Saccharomyces cerevisiae S288C: one gene and its partners. The gene in region 1 interacts genetically with each later gene. Each region holds a gene or a part of one and is shown in the gene's direction. Other genes may lie near its edges.

Evidence for each region.
Region 2: mutations in AAD4 (region 1) and ECM4 together harm fitness more than expected from each alone (negative genetic interaction), as found in Saccharomyces cerevisiae (one large-scale study listed by BioGRID).
Region 3: mutations in AAD4 (region 1) and YLR225C together harm fitness more than expected from each alone (negative genetic interaction), as found in Saccharomyces cerevisiae (one large-scale study listed by BioGRID).
Region 4: mutations in AAD4 (region 1) and YHR210C together harm fitness more than expected from each alone (negative genetic interaction), as found in Saccharomyces cerevisiae (one large-scale study listed by BioGRID).

The regions. Positions count from the first base shown.
Region 1 is NC_001136.10:17,077-22,362, reverse strand, and holds AAD4 (putative aryl-alcohol dehydrogenase), read left to right. Parts: upstream 1-3,796; coding exon 3,797-4,786; downstream 4,787-5,286. Other genes in the region: YDL241W (uncharacterized protein), read right to left, coding at 1,357-1,728; YDL242W (uncharacterized protein), read right to left, coding at 3,051-3,404; THI13 (4-amino-5-hydroxymethyl-2-methylpyrimidine phosphate synthase), read right to left, coding at 5,137-5,286.
Region 2 is NC_001143.9:578,718-583,895, forward strand, and holds ECM4 (S-glutathionyl-(chloro)hydroquinone reductase), read left to right. Parts: upstream 1-3,565; coding exon 3,566-4,678; downstream 4,679-5,178. Other genes in the region: AIM29 (Aim29p), read left to right, coding at 492-959; YKR075C (uncharacterized protein), read right to left, coding at 1,110-2,033; MSA2 (Msa2p), read left to right, coding at 4,936-5,178. UniProt on the Saccharomyces cerevisiae protein: Active as '1-Cys' thiol transferase against beta-hydroxyethyl disulfide (HED), as dehydroascorbate reductase and as dimethylarsinic acid reductase, while not active against the standard GST substrate 1-chloro-2,4-dinitrobenzene (CDNB).
Region 3 is NC_001144.5:585,991-591,139, reverse strand, and holds YLR225C (uncharacterized protein), read left to right. Parts: upstream 1-2,221; coding exon 2,222-3,445; downstream 3,446-5,149. Other genes in the region: ADY4 (Ady4p), read left to right, coding at 1-578; BUR2 (Bur2p), read right to left, coding at 599-1,786; UCC1 (Ucc1p), read right to left, coding at 3,567-4,676.
Region 4 is NC_001140.6:519,336-524,336, reverse strand, and holds YHR210C (aldose 1-epimerase superfamily protein), read left to right. Parts: upstream 1-2,599; coding exon 2,600-3,625; downstream 3,626-5,001. Other genes in the region: CRG1 (S-adenosylmethionine-dependent methyltransferase), read right to left, coding at 4,025-4,900.

The DNA.
Region 1 (5,286 bases):
TTCAAACGTAAGTAGCACATGCGGGCTTCTTGATATATTTGCTAGCTCAAAAAGCTAACTGAGTACAACATGGGGGCCACCCATGTTGATTATGTTCTGGTCGTAAAGTGATCTTTTACGGGTTATATTGTTTGCCCATAATTTCAGTTTTGAGGTGCCTATCGCTTCTTCTCGTTTTGTTTTGGGAACGTTTGAGTATTTACTTTATAGTGCACTTTTTTGCGTTTTCATCTCTTGACTGTTCGAAAACCAATGTTGGTGAAGGAAATAGCTAAGTATGACCTCGCCTTAAACCAATCTTAGTATCCTGTCTCTTTGCCACAGCTATTTCCTACTTCCATTAAGATCAATTTCTTTGCTATTGGAATCACAGGCGACTTAGAATGCATTTTCTATACTAGTAATTCGCAATTTTCTTGTTTTCCACAACGGTTTAATACTAAGCAGATGATATGACAATATGGCAAACATGATATACAGAAGAGAGCTTAATGGGACCAACTAAAGTTAGATGACACCATGGTCCAATTTTCTGAGCATGAACAACGGCAGAACAATAGCTGAACTGGACCGATTTGATTTTTGAACAGGAAATCTGTAATTTTTTATGCTTTGTTTTATGTAGCGATTTTATGATTATTGTTAATTATACATCTCACAAAAGCCAAGAAGAAATCTGAAAAAGTGAGCCCACACGTAGACTATTTGACGCTCATGAAAGTTGTCAAGCCTTGTGTTAGCGTTAACGTACTTCATTTAAAACATGGCCGCTTCGTGAGAAGTGGAAGCATAGTATCGATATTTTCTATAATCTAAATTATTTTAGTGCCCATAATGCAGTATACTGTATCGTATAGGAGTTCTGACTTGCTAATGTAACACAGTAGACTTCACCTTCACTTATGGATACCATTGGCTTATTAAGACATCAGAGTTCATTAAATGAATAGTAACAATCCTTGCGCAAAAAAAGGCGTCGATGACGCACTTTTGCGTTCAAGTTTTATATACTTGGAAAGCTATGACTGATGAGACGGACCTGTTTCGCATAGAAATTCGGTGCTTAACATGTAATTGCACCTTTGTTTTTGAGAAATCCATGAATTTCGCGGTAAAGGCTCGATTAATGATTATTCTATATATATGTACTATAAGCCGATTATCGCAGTTTTTCCAGCCTCCTTAGTAAATTACCCACTGTTTTAAGATGAGTCCTACTGACGGGTTACATTTTTATAGTCTTTCTTCTCAGGCGACCCAAAGTTCTGTCTGACTGTCTCGTATTATATGTAGAAACGATAAAAAATTATATGGTGGCTACTGCGACCACCAATCCAAAGTGTCATACCTTGAGAATTAGACAATTGTATACAACACTAGCATGAACAGTATGGTAAATTTGGCGAGAGAATGAGAAGGCCTTGTATTATGTATTCCCGCATTGGTTTCTGTACCTTTCCCTTGCAGAAAACCACATGCATAAAAGTCGCTTGCCACATAACTCGCATTTGTGAAGCCATGCGAACCACACGTAAACGTTTCAGGACTTTCAGCAGGCTGCCCAGTGAGAAATGTATCATAAAAAATTGAATAAGTTGGGTTCTTTTCTTTAGCAGTTTTCTTTCCTTCAGCTACCCCACAATTATAAATTTCTGTCGGCGTATAGGTTTGATTAATATAGCCCTTGCTACCGCACTTAAACAATAGAGCATTTTCAGTTACGTTCATTTTTTTGTGTCTCTATTATAGATTTTTCTTGGGTGTGATGCAAAAATCGCTGATAGGAATTATAATAAAGGAATATATATATATATATATATATATATATATATATATAGGTACTAATTGGCTTTTCTTATACGCCTCCTATTGATTCACTGCCGAAAGTGCCCTGTTATATACGACAATCATACGCCTGTTTGCAAATAGTCAACATATTCAACTCGGAAGGTAAAAGATGAAAAGGCAATTTTTTTGATTTTCTAAGAAAATGCGCAGCGGGCAGAAGGGTCTTCGCAGGCAACTGAGTAAAGAATATGAGAAAAGCCTCTAAATGTTGAACCCTGAAAAAGTTTCATCTATTTTTGATAAAGACTTTTCAATAGTGCAGGATCACGCAAGAAAAAAAAAGGTCCTTAAGAGCAATTGTGGGAAAATATAATACAATGCTTGCGTTAAAACTTCTAGTTACCTTTTACAACCGAAAGTAAACACTAGCATGGGCTTGGAGACGAGCAGCGCAAATTATATAGTTTGAGATAGAACGCTTTCTCCGGTATTGCCTGGGGAAAAGGAGTCACATGATTAGAATCGGCGAAATTTTTTTTCCAAAATTAACAGCAGGGTTGTCTGGATGTTTTATTGAAAATAGAAGCCAATGACAAACACAAGAGGCCAGTAGTATATTAATTTTAATGTGCATTCTAAAGCATCCTCACGTCTTTCAATCTGAAGTTACTGTTCGAGAAGGAGAAGAAAAGAAGGAAAAATGAAGGATATGAATAATAACATGAGTACTAGTTACGTCCAATCTGGTCACACCATATATTGATGCATCTTATGCGCCATAACTTCTTTTTTTGTAGCTATAATTTGTTGCCAGAAAAATGAAAACTTTTCAAAATCAACCAGTTTCCAATTTTTCTGCAACTCGTTATTTATGAAGATAGATGATGATTGACCCCCTTTCTCCAAAAATCGATGCAGCATTGGGTTATTTTTTGAGCTTTCTAATTATAGGGCCATTTTCTAGCAAGACTGTATAGCACATGCTCGCAAAGAACATGGCGTAATGTTCATAAGAAACAAATTTTGTAAGTTTCTTGTGCCTTTTGAGTTTGAAATCATTGACCAGAACAATGAGAACTCTAAACACGACAAATGGATCTTAAATCAATTTTCTTGAAAACATCTTCCAGTTTCGATATTCGCACATTTGCCGGTAAAATAGTGCAATCTGCCTATACCTTTAAAATGGGATCTTGAACGCGTACCTGAAGGTTTTTTTAAATAAGGCCGAACCTAAATGTTGCCTTCAAAATTAACCTGTATCAAATTTTGAAGCCGAAGTTGGTATCCTCACATTGTCTAACCTCATGGTCTCCTAAAGTCCGGCGATCACTTTCCGTTGCGTGACTATTGATGATCAGACTGTCAACAATGTCGTTCCGGGCCTCCATAGCTTGAAGAATTTTCGTTGACGGAACTAGAGGAATGGCAGATGGAGATGACCTTAGTTTCATGTCGCCTTGATAGTTATCAAAGAGTACAGAAACAAGACGTCTCTTGCTCAATAATAAGGATTGGATCAGGTGCTTACAAATTTTATTCGTCATACAAACAATTACTAATATTTTTTTAATATTAAGCGTACCCCTATTTGATTGGCTCTCTTCTAAATTCATACGTTTTAAAATCCGCTTTCAACCGTCAACATAAAATTAGTAAGCAGACCTCGTTCCAAGACCCAACTAAGTTGCACTAAATATCCTCGAACAAATTGGGGGCAGATTTTTGAACCATATAAAAGTCATGACAATATTTCCAGATCAAGGACAGTTGCAGTTCTTCCTTTCATCGGCCAGCTGACGAATTGACTGAGCGGCTTTGTATTTCACTAGAATACACTTCCTATAGCTACAAAATATTATTCAATAATATTAGTGAATTATTTAAACCTCTACCTGAACCACCTACCGAGTTGGGACGTCTCAGGGTTCTTTCTAAAACTGCCGGCATAAGAGTTTCACCGCTAATTCTGGGAGGAGCTTCAATCGGCGATGCATGGTCAGGCTTTATGGGCTCTATGAATAAGGAACAGGCTTTTGAACTTCTTGATGCTTTTTATGAAGCAGGAGGTAATTGCATTGATACTGCAAACAGTTACCAAAATGAAGAGTCAGAGATTTGGATAGGTGAATGGATGAAATCAAGAAAGTTGCGTGACCAAATTGTAATTGCCACCAAGTTTACCGGAGATTATAAGAAGTATGAAGTAGGTGGCGGTAAAAGTGCCAACTATTGTGGTAATCACAAGCATAGTTTACATGTGAGTGTGAGGGATTCTCTCCGCAAATTGCAAACTGATTGGATTGATATACTTTACGTTCACTGGTGGGATTATATGAGTTCAATCGAAGAAGTTATGGATAGTTTGCATATTTTAGTTCAGCAGGGCAAAGTCCTCTATTTGGGTGTGTCTGATACACCTGCTTGGGTTGTTTCTGCGGCAAACTACTACGCCACATCTCATGGGAAAACTCCTTTTAGTATCTATCAAGGTAAATGGAATGTGTTGAACAGGGACTTTGAGCGCGATATCATTCCAATGGCCAGACATTTTGGTATGGCTCTAGCCCCATGGGATGTTATGGGAGGTGGAAGATTTCAGAGTAAAAAAGCAATGGAGGAACGGAAGAAGAATGGAGAGGGTCTGCGTACTGTTTCGGGTACTTCTAAACAGACGGATAAAGAGGTTAAGATCAGTGAAGCATTGGCCAAGGTTGCTGAGGAACATGGCACTGAGTCTGTTACTGCTATTGCTATTGCCTATGTTCGCTCTAAGGCGAAAAATGTTTTCCCATTGGTTGGTGGAAGGAAAATTGAACACCTCAAACAGAACATTGAGGCTTTAAGTATCAAACTGACACCAGAACAGATAGAATACTTAGAAAGTATTATTCCTTTTGATGTTGGTTTTCCTACTAATTTTATCGGTGATGATCCGGCTGTTACCAAGAAGGCTTCACTTCTCACGGCAATGTCTGCGCAGATTTCCTTCGATTAATCAGATTTCTTTTTTGGTGCGTTTGTGTAAGAAATATGTCCTTATATATTCCACGCTATCTACTTTTATACTTTTGAATAAGCCGCACCTAAAAACAGTCTTTATCCCTCACCTAATTCAGGCGTAAATTGTGCAGGTTACAGCATTTGAAGTGGTAAATCGAGGCAACACAAGACTTTCGATACTTGGAGGCAAGTACGATAATTACAAGGGAAAAGAAGCTGTAATAAAAGGCTCATAAATAATATCTTAATAGTAAATATCTAAATATCAGGGAGGAAAAAAAACCTAATGGGAAATCATAAACAAGTCGTAGAGGAAGGCTACGCTCGAGGAGTGACGAAGTGCGTTTAAGCTGGAAGAGCCAATCTCTTGAAAGTACCTTCCTGTCTGCATTTTTCTTGATGAATAGCCATCAATCTTTGGGCTTCCAAAGGATCAGAAACCTCTTCTGGTTCTGGCCAGGACAGGTATTCATTAGTGTAGTTCGAGACATAGTC
Region 2 (5,178 bases), on another chromosome or scaffold:
AACACAATTTATGAAACCTCAGGTTTGATGCTCCGGAAAGCCTATTTCTCACGTTTTCCGGCACTTAATGCGCATATAAAAACATAGTCTCTACGTTACGAGGATTTATCATAGAACCCAAATCAGCAGTAATAAATTTCCACGGTCAAATTAAACTCTTGTCGTTGATATGGGTGTAGTGTGATGGTGGTGACCACTATTTCGCCTTTATTAGTTATTTATATGAGTTAGCCCTCCGAAGAACTCATCCTTGTTAGCTCAGTTGGTAGAGCGTTCGGCTTTTAAGCGCATTTGCTTAAGCAAGGATACCGAAATGTCAGGGGTTCGAGCCCCCTATGAGGAGTTCTTTACTTTTTTAGATTCGGCGTTCAATGCTAAAGAAAAAAAATGAAAATAAGTTTCAATTAATAGTGAAAGAAAAGGAAGGAAGTTAGAACTGAAATGCGTAGACTACCTCCCCCAAATTTTTTCTTGTTTGGTTGCATTATTTCATGAATTCAACTAAAAGGCTGAAAATGTCAACAACCTTTCATGATTATGACTTGGAAGAGCCATTAACCTCAAATGCCAGACCACTAAAGAACTCCGTTATTACAATCCGAGTAATAAAATCTTTCCCATATAGAAACGTCAAGAACATAGTGCTGCACGATTACGATCTTGCTGATAAAACTGCAAAGGACCTGTTCAATGACGTTTTGAACAAAATTCAAAATGAAGGTTCATTCAGACCATTCCGTAATGTTAAGTTTGATACTTTAAAGATATACACGCACGCACATGGTTCCAAGACGGTTAATCTCGTGATCAATTTTGACCACGATGACGACTGGACTTTAGACATAGAGAATGACAAAAAAAAGCTGTTCGAGTATGGCATTGAGAATGAAACCGAAATTTCGCTTTTCAACAAAGAGGATTACCTAAGGTTTAAAGAAAACCCTGAAGAAAAATGGTGAGATGTTGTTTGGCTTATGGCCTTCATTAATAAGTAAGTGCTATGAATATATTACATATATATATATATATATGTTGTGTACGAGAGTATACTCGTATGTAAATTAACATCAAATGTGTATGTGGAAATGCAGAAGAGAGCAAACTCTCCTTTAAAAAACAACCTGGTTCCTATAAAAAATGTCTTCTTCCATAGTGCCAAATGTATAGTTGCTGAACTCATAATGAGCTTCTTTTATTGTTTCATCAGAATGAGAACTATTTTGATGGTGATGGTGATGATGGCGACGATGGTGACGGCGATGGTGGCGGGAATGTTGGATATCGTTTATGTTGATGAGGGATTCGCGGATAGTCCCCTTTGAGTCGATCTCCCTCTTCATCACGGCTTGGTTAAACTTCAACTTCCTGGGGAATTGTTCCTTCTTTTCGTTCATAAGGTCTTCAGAATCTTCATCTATGGAGGAAATTTTAGTGCATGTAGAATGCTGGTCGAAAATGGAAGACGTGTGAGAATCAACAGACGATGGGCATGAAATGTCTTCTAATTTCACCAAAGCGTTGTCATTGCTCTCTATAGAAGCGTTAATCTCATCCACCTCCTCGGTTACCCAGCATTCCGTATTTTTCTTTAAAGCAGATTTTAGATTTTTTGTTTGTTTCTGGTCAATTTGGTTCTGGACCGGCGATATTTCGTTTTCATTACTATCTATGTTAGTCAAATCTGGACCGTACAACACCGTTACATCGGTTTCTTTGTTCCAGTTGATGGACAGTGGATTGGATTTGGAGTTCTGTAAACCATAGTGATTTATGGACCAACGCCTCCAGAGGCAATGATGTAGCCTAACGAGGTACATGTTGTAATCTAGCACGTCCTCTGAAGAGCAACTTGGTAATCGAAGTAGTTTATGTTTGCGCATCTTCAATAGTAGTGTCCATGAAGCCGATATTTCCAAGCTTGCATCATTAAATTCATGATGGAAATAGTCAATCGCAGGCTTGTTGTAGTTGGTCATGTTATCCAGTAACATTATATTCTGGTACGAAATTATTGTATCGTCCAAACTAGTCATTTTCTGTATATGTATCTATTTGTGTGTGTATGAACACTTGTGTGTAGTATCTGAATGCGATAAGAGAAAGGGCCAAAGTTGAACTGAATGCAAAAAGTAAAACCTATAAAACCGTGTTGACCATACGCTTTCATATATATATATATATATGTTTGTTTTTGCTAAGACCCGGTAACTGTACTTTTTCTGCAGTCATCCAAGGGAAGACAAAAGAAGAAAGAAAAAACAAGATTAATGTCCCCAGGTTTTTTCTTTTCCTGGCGGAAAAAGCTCAAATCTAACATTTCCCCGCGGGGGTTTCTTTGTAAAGAGTATCGAGTCGGAAACGAAAAAAAAAAAAAGATGAGAAAATGAATTTTTCCGGTCGCCTAAAGATAGAGGTACCAGCGGAAAAAATGCAGCAAAAGCAAAATACCCCATTCAAGTTCCCCCTGTCTCGCCCCTCTCACGCTTCACTGTCCCCCGCTTTCGGTTTTTCCGGCTACGGCATTTCTGTTGAAAGTTGCCGGAAAAACCCCAAAAAGCATAAAAAAAAAGAGCGGGGGGAAGAAAAAAAGATTCCTTTCTATCTTTTCCTTCCCCGGCCTATTCGGGTACTCGCTTCCGGGTCCGCTGTCGTTTATAATGATTAGTGCAGAGAGCTTTCTTCTCTTAGTTTTTCATGTGGTAAAGGCAATGCCATTTAGAAGGATACTACGTGGGGTTCAAAACCGTGAATACGTTGTCTATCGTGTTATGTATGTTCTGAGTTTCTTTTTGTCATTCTACTAGTTTATGGACTGGGACTATGTATCTTGCAGTATGATTTCGTCAGGAAGCTTGTCATAGCAAGGCCTGAACAAATCGTACGTTAAAATAAAAATGAGCACCAATTCGAGTCACTGATGCCTACTGCTCAATCCAACCATCTAGTTCTGCAAAGATACTTACTCCGCATAATTAAAAAAATAAGGTATTTTAAAGTTGTGTAGTGACGAATGTAGTGACGCGGAAACGTTTTACTCGTCAATGGACATTTGCGAATGTGTCCGATAAATAGTTGAGGCTTTTCCTGCATTCTGTCAAGAAGGGTATGTGTATGAACATGCAAATGACACTGTAAAATGATTCATTACCCTGATTATGGAGTGATTTTCTTTCCTTTTTTTTTTTACATTTAGTTTCATTATTATGCAAATTAGAGGGTATACAGTTGAGATTTTAACACTTTGAATTAAAAAGTGTTACAGAGGAAACCGACGCAAAAGGCTTGGTGACGCAAACTTTTCCATCTTTATTTCACCTCTTCAGACGGTCCTAAGACCTTTTGAACGTATCAATATAGTTTTATCATCTGTTCTCTGTTGTTCTCCGTTACTAAGATATTAGTCAGCTCTTGAAATTTCACACCCCTATTTATTTGTCTTAGCGTCCAACCCCTCTCAACCCTTTTCCATTTCTTGTATAAAGGTAGTTAATTAGGTAACGCTGCTCTTACCATCACTACAGTGCTTACGAGAATTTACCCAAACCCTGCGCAAGATAAATAAGAAATGTCGAAACAGTGGGCGAGTGGTACAAACGGAGCTTTCAAAAGACAGGTTTCGTCCTTCAGAGAAACAATCTCTAAGCAACACCCAATTTATAAGCCAGCAAAGGGAAGATATTGGTTGTATGTTTCACTTGCATGCCCATGGGCCCATAGAACACTAATTACGAGGGCTTTGAAGGGATTAACCTCTGTTATAGGATGTAGCGTAGTCCATTGGCACCTTGACGAGAAAGGATGGAGATTTTTGGACATGGAAAAGCAATTGGAGGACAGTGAAGATTTTTTGGAACATTGGCACGATGTTGCAGGTGGTATTAGAACTGCTAAAGAGGATTCCAGCAAGAGCTTCGCCGAGATCAAGAATGACAGTCAAAGATTCATGGTTGATGCTACCAATGAGCCTCACTATGGATACAAGAGAATCAGTGACTTATATTACAAGAGCGATCCTCAATACTCGGCAAGGTTCACCGTCCCAGTCCTGTGGGACTTAGAAACCCAAACAATTGTTAACAACGAAAGTAGCGAAATTATAAGGATTTTGAACTCTAGTGCGTTCGATGAATTTGTCGACGACGATCACAAGAAAACGGACCTTGTTCCTGCTCAGTTGAAAACACAGATCGATGACTTCAATTCTTGGGTTTACGACAGCATCAACAATGGTGTATACAAGACCGGATTCGCAGAGAAAGCAGAAGTTTACGAAAGTGAAGTCAACAACGTATTTGAACATTTGGACAAAGTGGAGAAAATCCTGAGTGACAAATATTCCAAATTGAAGGCCAAATACGGTGAAGAAGATAGACAAAAAATCTTGGGTGAGTTCTTCACTGTGGGTGATCAATTAACAGAAGCTGACATTAGATTGTATACTACCGTCATAAGATTCGATCCTGTGTACGTCCAACATTTCAAATGCAATTTTACCTCTATTAGAGCCGGATATCCATTTATTCATTTGTGGGTAAGAAATTTATACTGGAATTATGATGCCTTCAGGTACACAACAGATTTTGACCATATCAAGTTACACTACACGCGTTCCCACACAAGGATCAACCCCTTGGGAATTACGCCCCTGGGACCCAAGCCAGATATTCGTCCTTTATAACAAGCTGTAATTAAATAATCAAATGTCTATAATCTCCCTGAGTTGCCTCTTTTTCTATACTCAATTGGGTAATTGACGCGAAACGCGTTAAAGTGCAAAAAAAGGCCTGGAAATTATATTTAACGCAATGAAATATTTTCATAATATGACATTCATGCACAGCTGTATTCATTCTTCTACTTTGTAGTTTGTTATTCTTCTTTATCGGTTTCGTTTTACAAAAGATTTTAGCAAGGAAGCAGTTTTTAAACCAATCAATGGTATACACAACACCGCAACAACAGCAGAGATTCAGCTCCACACCGCAATCTAGCCACACTCTTATCTTCTCGCCAATCAGAGCCCCTTCAATGCAAACGCCCTCCTCATTGGATTACCAATCACCTTCAATTGTTGTGTCATCGTCTTCAATGAAGGTTCACGGCCGGTCTTCCAGTTTCGGTAAATTTTCACTGTCTATTGGGCAAAATGGTAAGGCTACAATACTGGGGCCTATAAAC
Region 3 (5,149 bases), on another chromosome or scaffold:
AAAATATTCTGTCAATAACTTTCAAACTTAAAAATGACCCTCAGATTATATGCTGCTTGAATAAAATTCTGGAAGGCTTATTACTTTCATCAGGTGTTCAATTTAAAGTTATCCAGTTTTTTTATGTATTAAAACTATACTATATGCAAGATAATGAATACACATTCGAAGCATCATCTGAAATGGATAAATTGACCATAGAATGCTTATGTATCATCGAAAATATTATTGATGCTTGTGACAATCCTGATGAAGTAACTGACTACCAACTACCTAAGGTACTGTTGACTGCTATGGAGGGGAAATTACTTGTTGCTGAAAAAATATCCGAAGATAATGACTGTTCAGAATCTCTGGACGATTATCATCCCCGAACTTACCAATTCAGACATCCCAGAATAATAATAGACAAGATGAAAACAAAATTGAAGCAGAAACTGCGCTTTGACTCACCTAAAGATCCAGAAACAGATGATCATTGGATTGAGTATTGGAAATATTGCTATCAGGATAACATAGGGAACTTGCCGGACATTTTGTCACGTATATATCAAACCTTTACTGATCCCTCCAATTAAACATAACTTGTACTCTATTTTTATATTTTAGGTTTTTTGGCATCTGGGGTTCTTATAGGATCTTTAGCCTTTCTCTTCATACTTTCTTGTTTAGCCTTATCTAGTAAATCTTTAACCCTTGTTTCAATATGATTCAAAAACTCTTCCTTCACCTCACCGGATTTAATCAACTCGTAGTTAAACGGATCAGAGATTTCTGAAACTTCATTTTCCACATCGCCACTTTCGTCAATCACCGAATCAATCATGCTTGAATCAATTTGTAATTTAGCACCTTTATTACTTTTTAAGTTGAAAAAATTCTCTTCCAGTAACTTGTAATCGGTAAAGATATTGGCAAAATTTTCCGGCGTTACTTCGATAGGGAATCTATCCTTGAAGAAGTTTTTCGGATATCTGAAATCTTTGTCTACAAGCTTTTTATACTCTAAACCACAGTATATGAGAGATAGTACAATGAACGTATAACCGTCGCACAATAAAGAAACTGGCTGGGTGACAGCTTGGACCATAAAATTTCTTGATTCTTGAAGAATTTTTGGAAAAGCTTTTTTAAAGTTTTCTGGCAGATTGTGATCCCTGTTGAATCTATAATAGCCACTGAACACTTCTTCAATCAATTCTTTTGGATTACTGATATTTAAGTCAAAGCCAAATAAACATAGTATTTTTTTTTCATTCGTCACTAACTTATCTCTAAATTCCCATTTAAGTTTATCAATATTTGTTCGACTTTTTAAAGACGGTATATTTTGCATCAAAAACTCACAAGTCGCCTTAATATAGGCCTCTATAGGCCTATTATTCTCCATTGTTTTGCAAGCGGTGACCAGAATTCCCTGTGATATATGAATACATTCAGTTATGGCTGTAGGTATTCCATATATGAACCAATACCTGTAAAATAGAATGCATGATGCCGTATAGGTGTGATCAAAAAGATTTAATTTTTTTTTAAGTGTGTAAAAGTACATTAAGCATTTTTCCATATTTTTTTTTATTTCCACTGCTATCGGTCCATTAGTGCCTATCTTTTCAATAATATCTTTGCACTCAAAAACCCACTGGTTTTCTGGTGTTTCTATCAAATCCGGCCATAGGGTCCTTGCGTTAAACCCACTCGATGCTGGTGGTGGTGATGCATTGCTCGTTGGTTTTGGTACAGCTTGAAATTTTTTCACGTCACCACTTGAAGATGTAGCAGACATTATCTTACTGTAATATATTTTAAACGAAAATACTACGGCCTCCTTCAATATGTGTATATAATTACCAATCAAAATAGCTACTTGCTTTCTAACAGAAATAGTGATACTTTTTAATCACTTTTCTTTTTTTACTGAACAGTGAAAAATAGAAGTCACAATGAGACCTAGGTCAAAAAGCCATAATGAATAGGGTTTGCAATAAAAAAGCTTTAAACGATAGGTCTGTTAAAGAGGATAAATAGGTTTATCATGTATCATTTGGTTTTTTGGGATAGGGCTTGGCAAAAACCATAACAGGGGAATGAGATTTTATATATAAATAGACAAGATAGATACTAAAATAGTGACGGATTCTCTCTAAATATTCGAGAAATTTTCAAAATTTTAGGGCAACGAACAGTTTAATTAACATAAAAATCATAGAGCAAAGAAAAAATGGCGGTTGCGATCAAAAAGGAGAAGACGAAATTTGCCCCCGTTAAGGAAGTTTTATCCGAGAAGGATCATGCTAATTATACTAAATTTCAGGATACATCGAAACTAGAATGGTTTTGCAGGACGTCAAATCACAAAAAGTTCAAGTCACATAGTTTATTAAAAGCAGTAAGAAATCCAACGGAAACAAGAATAGAGACACAAACTCTGTATTTTACGGATCTCACCAACGGCAAATGTGGATTAATTCAACTATTATATTCCAGTGTTATGGGCGGTATATACAAAGGTTTTCAGTTAAATTTCAAAATATTTAAAGCCAGCAGTGAGGAAAACTCTGAAGAAGACATTGATATATGGGAAAGCTTTAAAATTGATAATATCAAAGATTTTGATACGTTAAAAGTTGAATCGGACAATGTTACGTTTCACTTCGTACCTTTGGAAAATTCTTCCTCCAGTGGATTTGCTCAATTATTAATTAAGATAGATATTCCGAAGGGAAGTACAAGCTGTTTACTAAAAGATTTGAAGGTTGACATTACCGTAAATTTACAAGAAGGATTCATAATAAACCCGGACGGTTCCAATTATTACCTTGACAAGAGCATCAGCTTGGAAGAGTTAGCAAAAAGAGACTCTTCTAGTACGTCCAGAAAAATGATAAGACATGTTTTTGTTCCTAGAGGTTTTTGCAATGGTACCATCTCATACAAGAAAAACGATAAACCTGTGAAGCTGGACTTGAAGGACACGCCTATGTTGTATCTGGATGCTGTCCAGGGGCTAATACCCAATAAGGCGGCTAGTAAATGGAATTTTCTTTGTTTCAATGGTGAGAAGCGTTCGATGATGTGTATTGAATTCACCACAACAAAAGAATATGGCAGCACTACAGTGACTATATGGGCGGTTAGTGATAAGGACAAAATTTTGGAGGTCGGGTCAAGTGTAAATGATCATGCTGTTAAATTTCCATCTACAAAAGAGGATAAGCAAAATGGTTGGAAATATCCTACATCCATTTCATTTCCGCGTGGTTTTGAAGAATCTAATTTAAGATTAGTCAATAGGTACGATATAATGAGTGAGCTGCCCGCTTTCATTAGGTCTATTGCTGAAAATCTGGCAAACATGAAGCCATTCATTTACCAATTCTGCCAGAAGTCTAAATTCGATGACGATGAAGGAGTTTCCATCATTGAAAGTACATTTATCAATTGAAAAAAATGAAATTTGACTATACATATTTTCATCATTGCAAGAATATTATATCCATTTATAAGTAGGTAGGTGCATAGACGTATATACACATATATTATAGACTAATTGATAAATTTTTTTTTCATCTTCGAAGATAAGGGGTATTCCAGTTGGGCAATGCTATTTCTTGACCAAGATCTTGCTTTTGTTCCGGATGCTTGTAGACGAAAATTCTTATCAATTTGGATGGCTTGTAAGGTAAACCGTGCCCAATTATCGTGTCTCTAGGAAATGAAATTTTCTCTTCAGATTGTAAGCAGGCCAAACTCCATGCAAACTGGTATGAAAAAGAACATTCACTATAGTTGAAGATTGCTTCAATGCTATTTACGGGTTCGATTCTAAAGAGTAACCACGGCTTCGATATCTGATATGGAATAAAGTCATAACCGAGTAGAACTAAATCACCATTGATACAAACATCTGAATCTGTCCTGTCGATAGCTTTCAGTTCCAGGGGAAGATGTGTCGTTCCAGTGCCTTCAAAAATTTGCTCATCGTATAGCCTGGGAAGGTGGCCTAGGTTAACACAGTATATTCCTTCAGATGTTATCAATTCGTTGATATATCCTGCACTTGCCACGATCTGCTTCGGCCCATAGTTGCATATGCCTATTTCCGTAATAATTTTCGGTATGTATCTGGCAACGTGCGCATTTTTTACATAAAACCAAACGTTTACCGGTGTAGGCTCGTCCTTCCTCCTGGACCAAAAGTTAACAGGTAAAGCTGTCAACGACTGCATAAGAGTTCTTTCCTTGGGCCGACTATTAAAGTTACTGGTAGAATCAGAACCATTTGAATCTTGACTTTTGGTATATTTGTCCCATCCCATATTAATTATCTTTCCAGGATATTGCAGCGCATTGTATACAATATACCAAGAATCTGCGATGTATTTAGTCATGCACAGTGGCACATTAAAACCTGGTTCCTTCGTTTCTTGAATGATTTCTCTGGCATGCTGTCGAAGTGGGTCCAAACTCTTGACATATAAACATAATGAATGTTTGACAACGGCCCATATATAGTTGTCCTCAGCTATCCACGCCAAACTCTTCTCCTTATAGCTGTGGTTATGCAAAACGTAGAAGTATTTATTGACAGCACGAAGTTCATTAGGCACGTACTCTAGTAATGATAAATGTATCTCCAGTGGTAAATCCATCAAGCTGCTATCGCTCTGATTCATCTCTTGTTTGCACACTCTGTCTTCTTTGCGCCAATAGGCATAGTACAAACAAAAAAACGAGCCAAGCAAACAGCGGAAACTCTATTAAAGGTTATGCTACCTTCCGATAGTGATAATATTATGAGAAACTCCAATGTAGATCTACTTGTCTGAGATGGCCTTTGATAAAAAAATCAATCGAGTACGCAATAGAGGGGCAGAGACTTTGAAGAGCAAAAAAAAGAAAAAGGAAATTTTCAGTTATTGTTCCGATTTTTCCGTGTGGGGTTCGGGATGCCTAGTTGTTCCGTAATGCGATTGAAAGATACACTTAACTAGGAGGCTGCTAGTACGCGACCCCTACCTACGTATTGCAAAGATGTTTGAAGTATCAACGGGTGTAGAACTTTGCAATCAAGCAAAAGCTAGATAGTTCCATTATGAATTGTGACGATGTTACCCGTACTGCCTACTACATCTCTTTATACGGATTG
Region 4 (5,001 bases), on another chromosome or scaffold:
AGTGCCTAAATTCTAGTGTTTTGAAAGTCACCTAATACTGGTGATTTATCTTTTGTTGTGCAGCACTGCATGTGCGAATGGTCCATGATGAGAAAGGCACAAAGACTCGAGCTCATCATTTCCTGGTATTTTTAGTGGGGATCTATCAATAAAGGCGGCTTGTCAACTTGACACACACAATAAAAGACCTCATTTAATTTTGTTAAAAGAACATTATCTGTTAAACACGCTGTGTTACTGACATTGTTTCATAAGTAATAAAAGATCTGACTATTATCTTATCCATACCAGTGTTCTGTTTGACAAGTAGCTGCAACCGGAAGTTATTCCTTCTCCACTGCAAAGATCGTTTAATTGTCCCATCCTGCGCGATCACGTAACATGCTATGAACGTCGGGAAATTTTTCACTTGTGAAGTCTTAGAATGTGTAATCATGTAACTGAGGTTTCTGACGACTAGTAGCATATTTGAACTCTATTAGGATTAACACGAAGTTCTAATGATTTTTCTTTCTCGGAGTTAAAAGGAAACCCGAACGTTTGTTGCCTCTAGATTTTTTCCATATATTTTCCATATGTTCACTTTTAGCAATCGCCTTTGCTTGTCTGATTTAGTTGAAAACAACAGCATTTGATATTCATGAAAGTCTATTAAAGGAAGAAAGTAAAGAAACTTTCTTCGCCTGTTTTCTTCCTAGAATACTGTTATACCAATAGAAATTGAAGGTTTGGGAGAACTTTTGAGAAACTTTTTTAAATTTCAAGACCTGTGCTTTGAACGTGTCTCATTTCTGCGTACAATGCCAAAGTTGGAAGGTTTTCTTGCGTATGGTTCTAGTTCTTTGCCAAATTATTGATTTCAATCACGCTTTAAAGTTTTTTCTGGGTTTTCTCCACATAGGATAGTGACAAGAAGTGCGGTAGCCATGTGGTTTATTGCAGATCACAGTATGAAGGACCTTCAACTTACCTTATTTACTTATTAACAGGAAATTAAGCGTCATAAAAAACTACAGCGGTGATAGGAGCTGTGAAAGGATCCATATTGCTATCGTGAGTGAAAACGAAGACAACCTGAAAATAAGTATTTTTCCGCCGTTCTTCAACGATGTATTTAGATATCAGTCGATATTAACGTATAGGAGGAGGATCGATTATCGTGAAGATAGAAAATAATGACCGAAGAAGATTCCCTGGTAGCGCACACTTCAAACTAAGGGTTGGTCTCCGGTAAATATCAAGATTTGTACATTTGGCTAAGTGCTGGAACCCATGCAATTGATCTTATTGTGATGATTTGATGATATTCCTCCGTCAGAAAGTCCTAGAACACAACCTCTGGATGAAAACAGAAAAGAAAAATATGCAAGATGTTCAAGTGCGCGCGGAGCAAAAAAAAAAAGGAACAGAATACTAAAAGAATACGTCGCGAATCTCGTTATTGACAAGGCATGTTTGGATGAAAACATGTAATGCCCCATTCAGCTTATTTTTCAACATTTTCAGAGTAACACGCAGAAGAAGACTTTGTTTTTCCAAAACCTCCTTTTGCACTCAAAAAGAATGCCAGTTCAGCATGGCATATTGGAGATTATTTTTCATAAAACTGTAAGAATTGTAAAGCAAAACTGGTGCACTGCTACATCAACTCTTATCTTCTTGCATATAAATTTAAATGAAAAGGAACTACTTTGTAATTATCGATATTACATTGAAACCTATGAGGAAGATTATGACATGATAACACTAAACTATTGCTGGCCAGCACCCGAACCGAGTGTCCAAATTGAGTTTTGAATCAGTTTTCAGCTCAGAACAGATTCCCCTTTTCCTTTATTAGGTCGTATCATCATTCTATGTGCAACTACTGCAGCATTTGCGTATAATTATGGAAATAAAATTATACGAAAGTTGATACTTGGTTGTAAATGGCCTAAGAATCGGAAAAAATGGAATTCTATTGGCATGCTATCTTGTTTAATGAGATTATGAAGTTGAATATCATTTCTGCGTTTTGCATTCAAACAATATCATTTCAAAGGCCTATCGCTGTGAGCAATACGCTGGATTTGCTCATCGCACAGTAAGCCTGCACTACCCCACCAAATTACAAGAATATAGTAGAGATCAGAAGCTTATGAGAAGTCACTTCCAAAATTCGCGTTGTCCAACATCCTTGGAATAATTTTTCCTCCTTATGCATCCAGGTGATTGACACTTTTTGACGGGATAAATGCAGGTGGAGGTGGGGGAGGGGTAAAGTTTCGTAAAGAGTGTCAGGTCGCATATCTTTGCACTGCGCAGAAATTCTCGCAGAAAATTACGCTACGGAGAAATTCTCGGGCACTAATATCGTACAAAAATTAGGTTTGTTACGTGATAATATGGCCTTGTACCTGTTAAGTTTTTCCGACAATTAGTTACTAGCTGAATATCTTAAAAAAAGGTAAAAGTAACTCCTCCATGGTTTGGTTATTCATGCGTAAACACCTTGGATGCTCTGAGATATAAAATCAGAATGTACTACGAAGTACTGGAACTCAATTGTACATTATGTTACTGCAATAAGTAAATTCACCTAAAAAGCCAAAAAGTGATAATGTCAAATAATAAGGCTGGCGGTGAATATGAAGTCATCACTATTGGTGATGCAAAAAAGCTTCAAGCAACAATTTCAGAGCTTGGCGCTACTTTGCTTGACTTGAAAGTGAACAACGAATCGATTGTTCTAGGATACCCTGATATTCATGGCTATATATCAGATGGCTACAACTACATTGGTGCTACTGTTGGCCGTTATGCAAATCGTATTTACAAGGGCATGTTCAGTATGGAAGATGGACCTCATCAGTTGACAGTGAACAATTGTGGAAACACCAACCACAGTAGCATCAGCTCCTTCCATCTCAAGAAGTATAAGGCATCCAAAGTCCAAAATCCTCTTGATGACCTTTACATTGTTGAATTTACGTTATTGGATGACCGCACACTGCCCAATGAATTTCCGGGAGATCTAGCTGTAAACTTAAAGTACACATTGAACGTTGCTGACATGACCTTGGACTTGGAATACGAGGCAAAACTGGTCAGCGGTGAGGCTACTCCCATCAACATGACGAATCACACGTACTTCAATTTAAACAAAACTATGGATAAAAAATCCATTAGCGGTACGGAGGTTAGGCTCTGCTCAGATAAATCATTGGAAGTAAGCGAAGGAGCACTAATTCCAACCGGTAAAATCGTTCAAAGAAAAATTGCTACTTTTGACTCCTCCAAACCTACCATTCTGCAGGATGATGGCCCGATTTATGACTACGCTTTCATTGTTGATGAAAATAAGAATTTGAAAACGACAGACTCAGTAAGTGTAAACAAGCTCGTCCCTGCCTTCAAGGCTTATCATCCGGCATCACGACTTTCATTGGAGGTTTCAACAACAGAACCAACTGTCCTATTTTACACAGGTGACAACTTGTGTGATGGATTTACGCCGAGATCTGGCTTTGCCGTTGAACAAGGCAGATATGTTGACGCAATCAACCGTGATGGATGGAGAGACTGCGTTCTTTTGAGACGTGGTGAGGTATATACTTCTAAGACTCGATATCGTTTTGCGGTGTAGGCACCAAATTTAGTTGTTTACTTTGCACTGTCGCATTATTTTTCTATAAATTGAGCTTTTTATAATGAGATATGATCCGGAAACAGCTTTCTGAAGTGCATATGTTATAGTTAATATTAAGAATTTTTTGAGACTTTATTATGTTACCATGATTGCATTATCTTTTAATGTTAACAGTAACAAGTTTACGTATCGCTTTAAAACATAATTACATTCAGAGGTCGGAATTTAGAGCCAATAAAATTTTTAGAGCATATGTTGACGGTTTTAAATTACTCCCAACTGCGCAACAACACCTTATTTTCTTTTTGCCATATTTTAATATTTATTAGCATTTGGGAAATATTTAAAAAAAGAAAAAAATCAGCTTTTTATATATTTCTTTTAATTTAGTAAACCTCATTCTCTTTTCCTACATAAGTAATAAAACGTTGACCACTCTATTTTTAAAGGTACATTCAAATCTTCACAATGACAGATTTCTTTGAGCTCGTTAATGAATATATCGGCAATATCCGGTTTCGAGGGATTATCTCTAGCCCAAGAAGTGTATATGCTCCAGCTTTTCACAAACTCTTTAAATTGATTGAGAGTAATAGCTGCTCTCCAGAGAAACTGACTGTTTTCAGCCGTTACTGTTGATGCATTTGGGTCCGAAGGACTGTAAATTGTGACTTCAATATCTCCAAATCGATCTGACAATAAAGAACGTAGCTTTTCACCACCGTAATTCAACAAAATTTCCCGTTGGTTGTCGTTCAGATATTTACCCATATAATCCTTGCTCCATCCATATTTGTAATATACATTCAAGGCTTCGGGAAAGTCCACAAATTCCGGCTGAATATAAAACCAGAATGCAAAAGTTCCATCACTTCGTAATATAGAGGAAACCTGCTGAAACAGCCTTTCTAAATTGCACCAATGGATGGCTTCTGCTGAAATAACCATATCTACACTTTCTGGTCGAATGCTGGATAAATCTTCACCAGGCGCATTAATAAATCTAATCTTTTTATCTAATCTACGTTCATTTGTTTCTTTCTCAGCAATCGAAAGCATAGCAGAAGAAGGATCAATCCCAATCACTTCCTTAAAATAGGGTTCAACGACAAAAGTTGCTTTTCCTGTGCCACATCCAATATCAACCAAACTTTTGCGTGTGCCTTTGTGAAATTTCATTATCTCATTGACTAAAGATAAAGGGTAAGAGGGACGTACGTTATTATAGTGAGCAGATTCAAAATTTTTGTTTAAATAACTAGTTTTAGGCATTCTGGATTCTTCCATTGACAGAAGACTGGCTTTGAAGATGTACTGAGTGTAAAAGGGTTAACTTGAATTTGCCCCTTTAGTTCGTGCCGTTTGTTTATGTT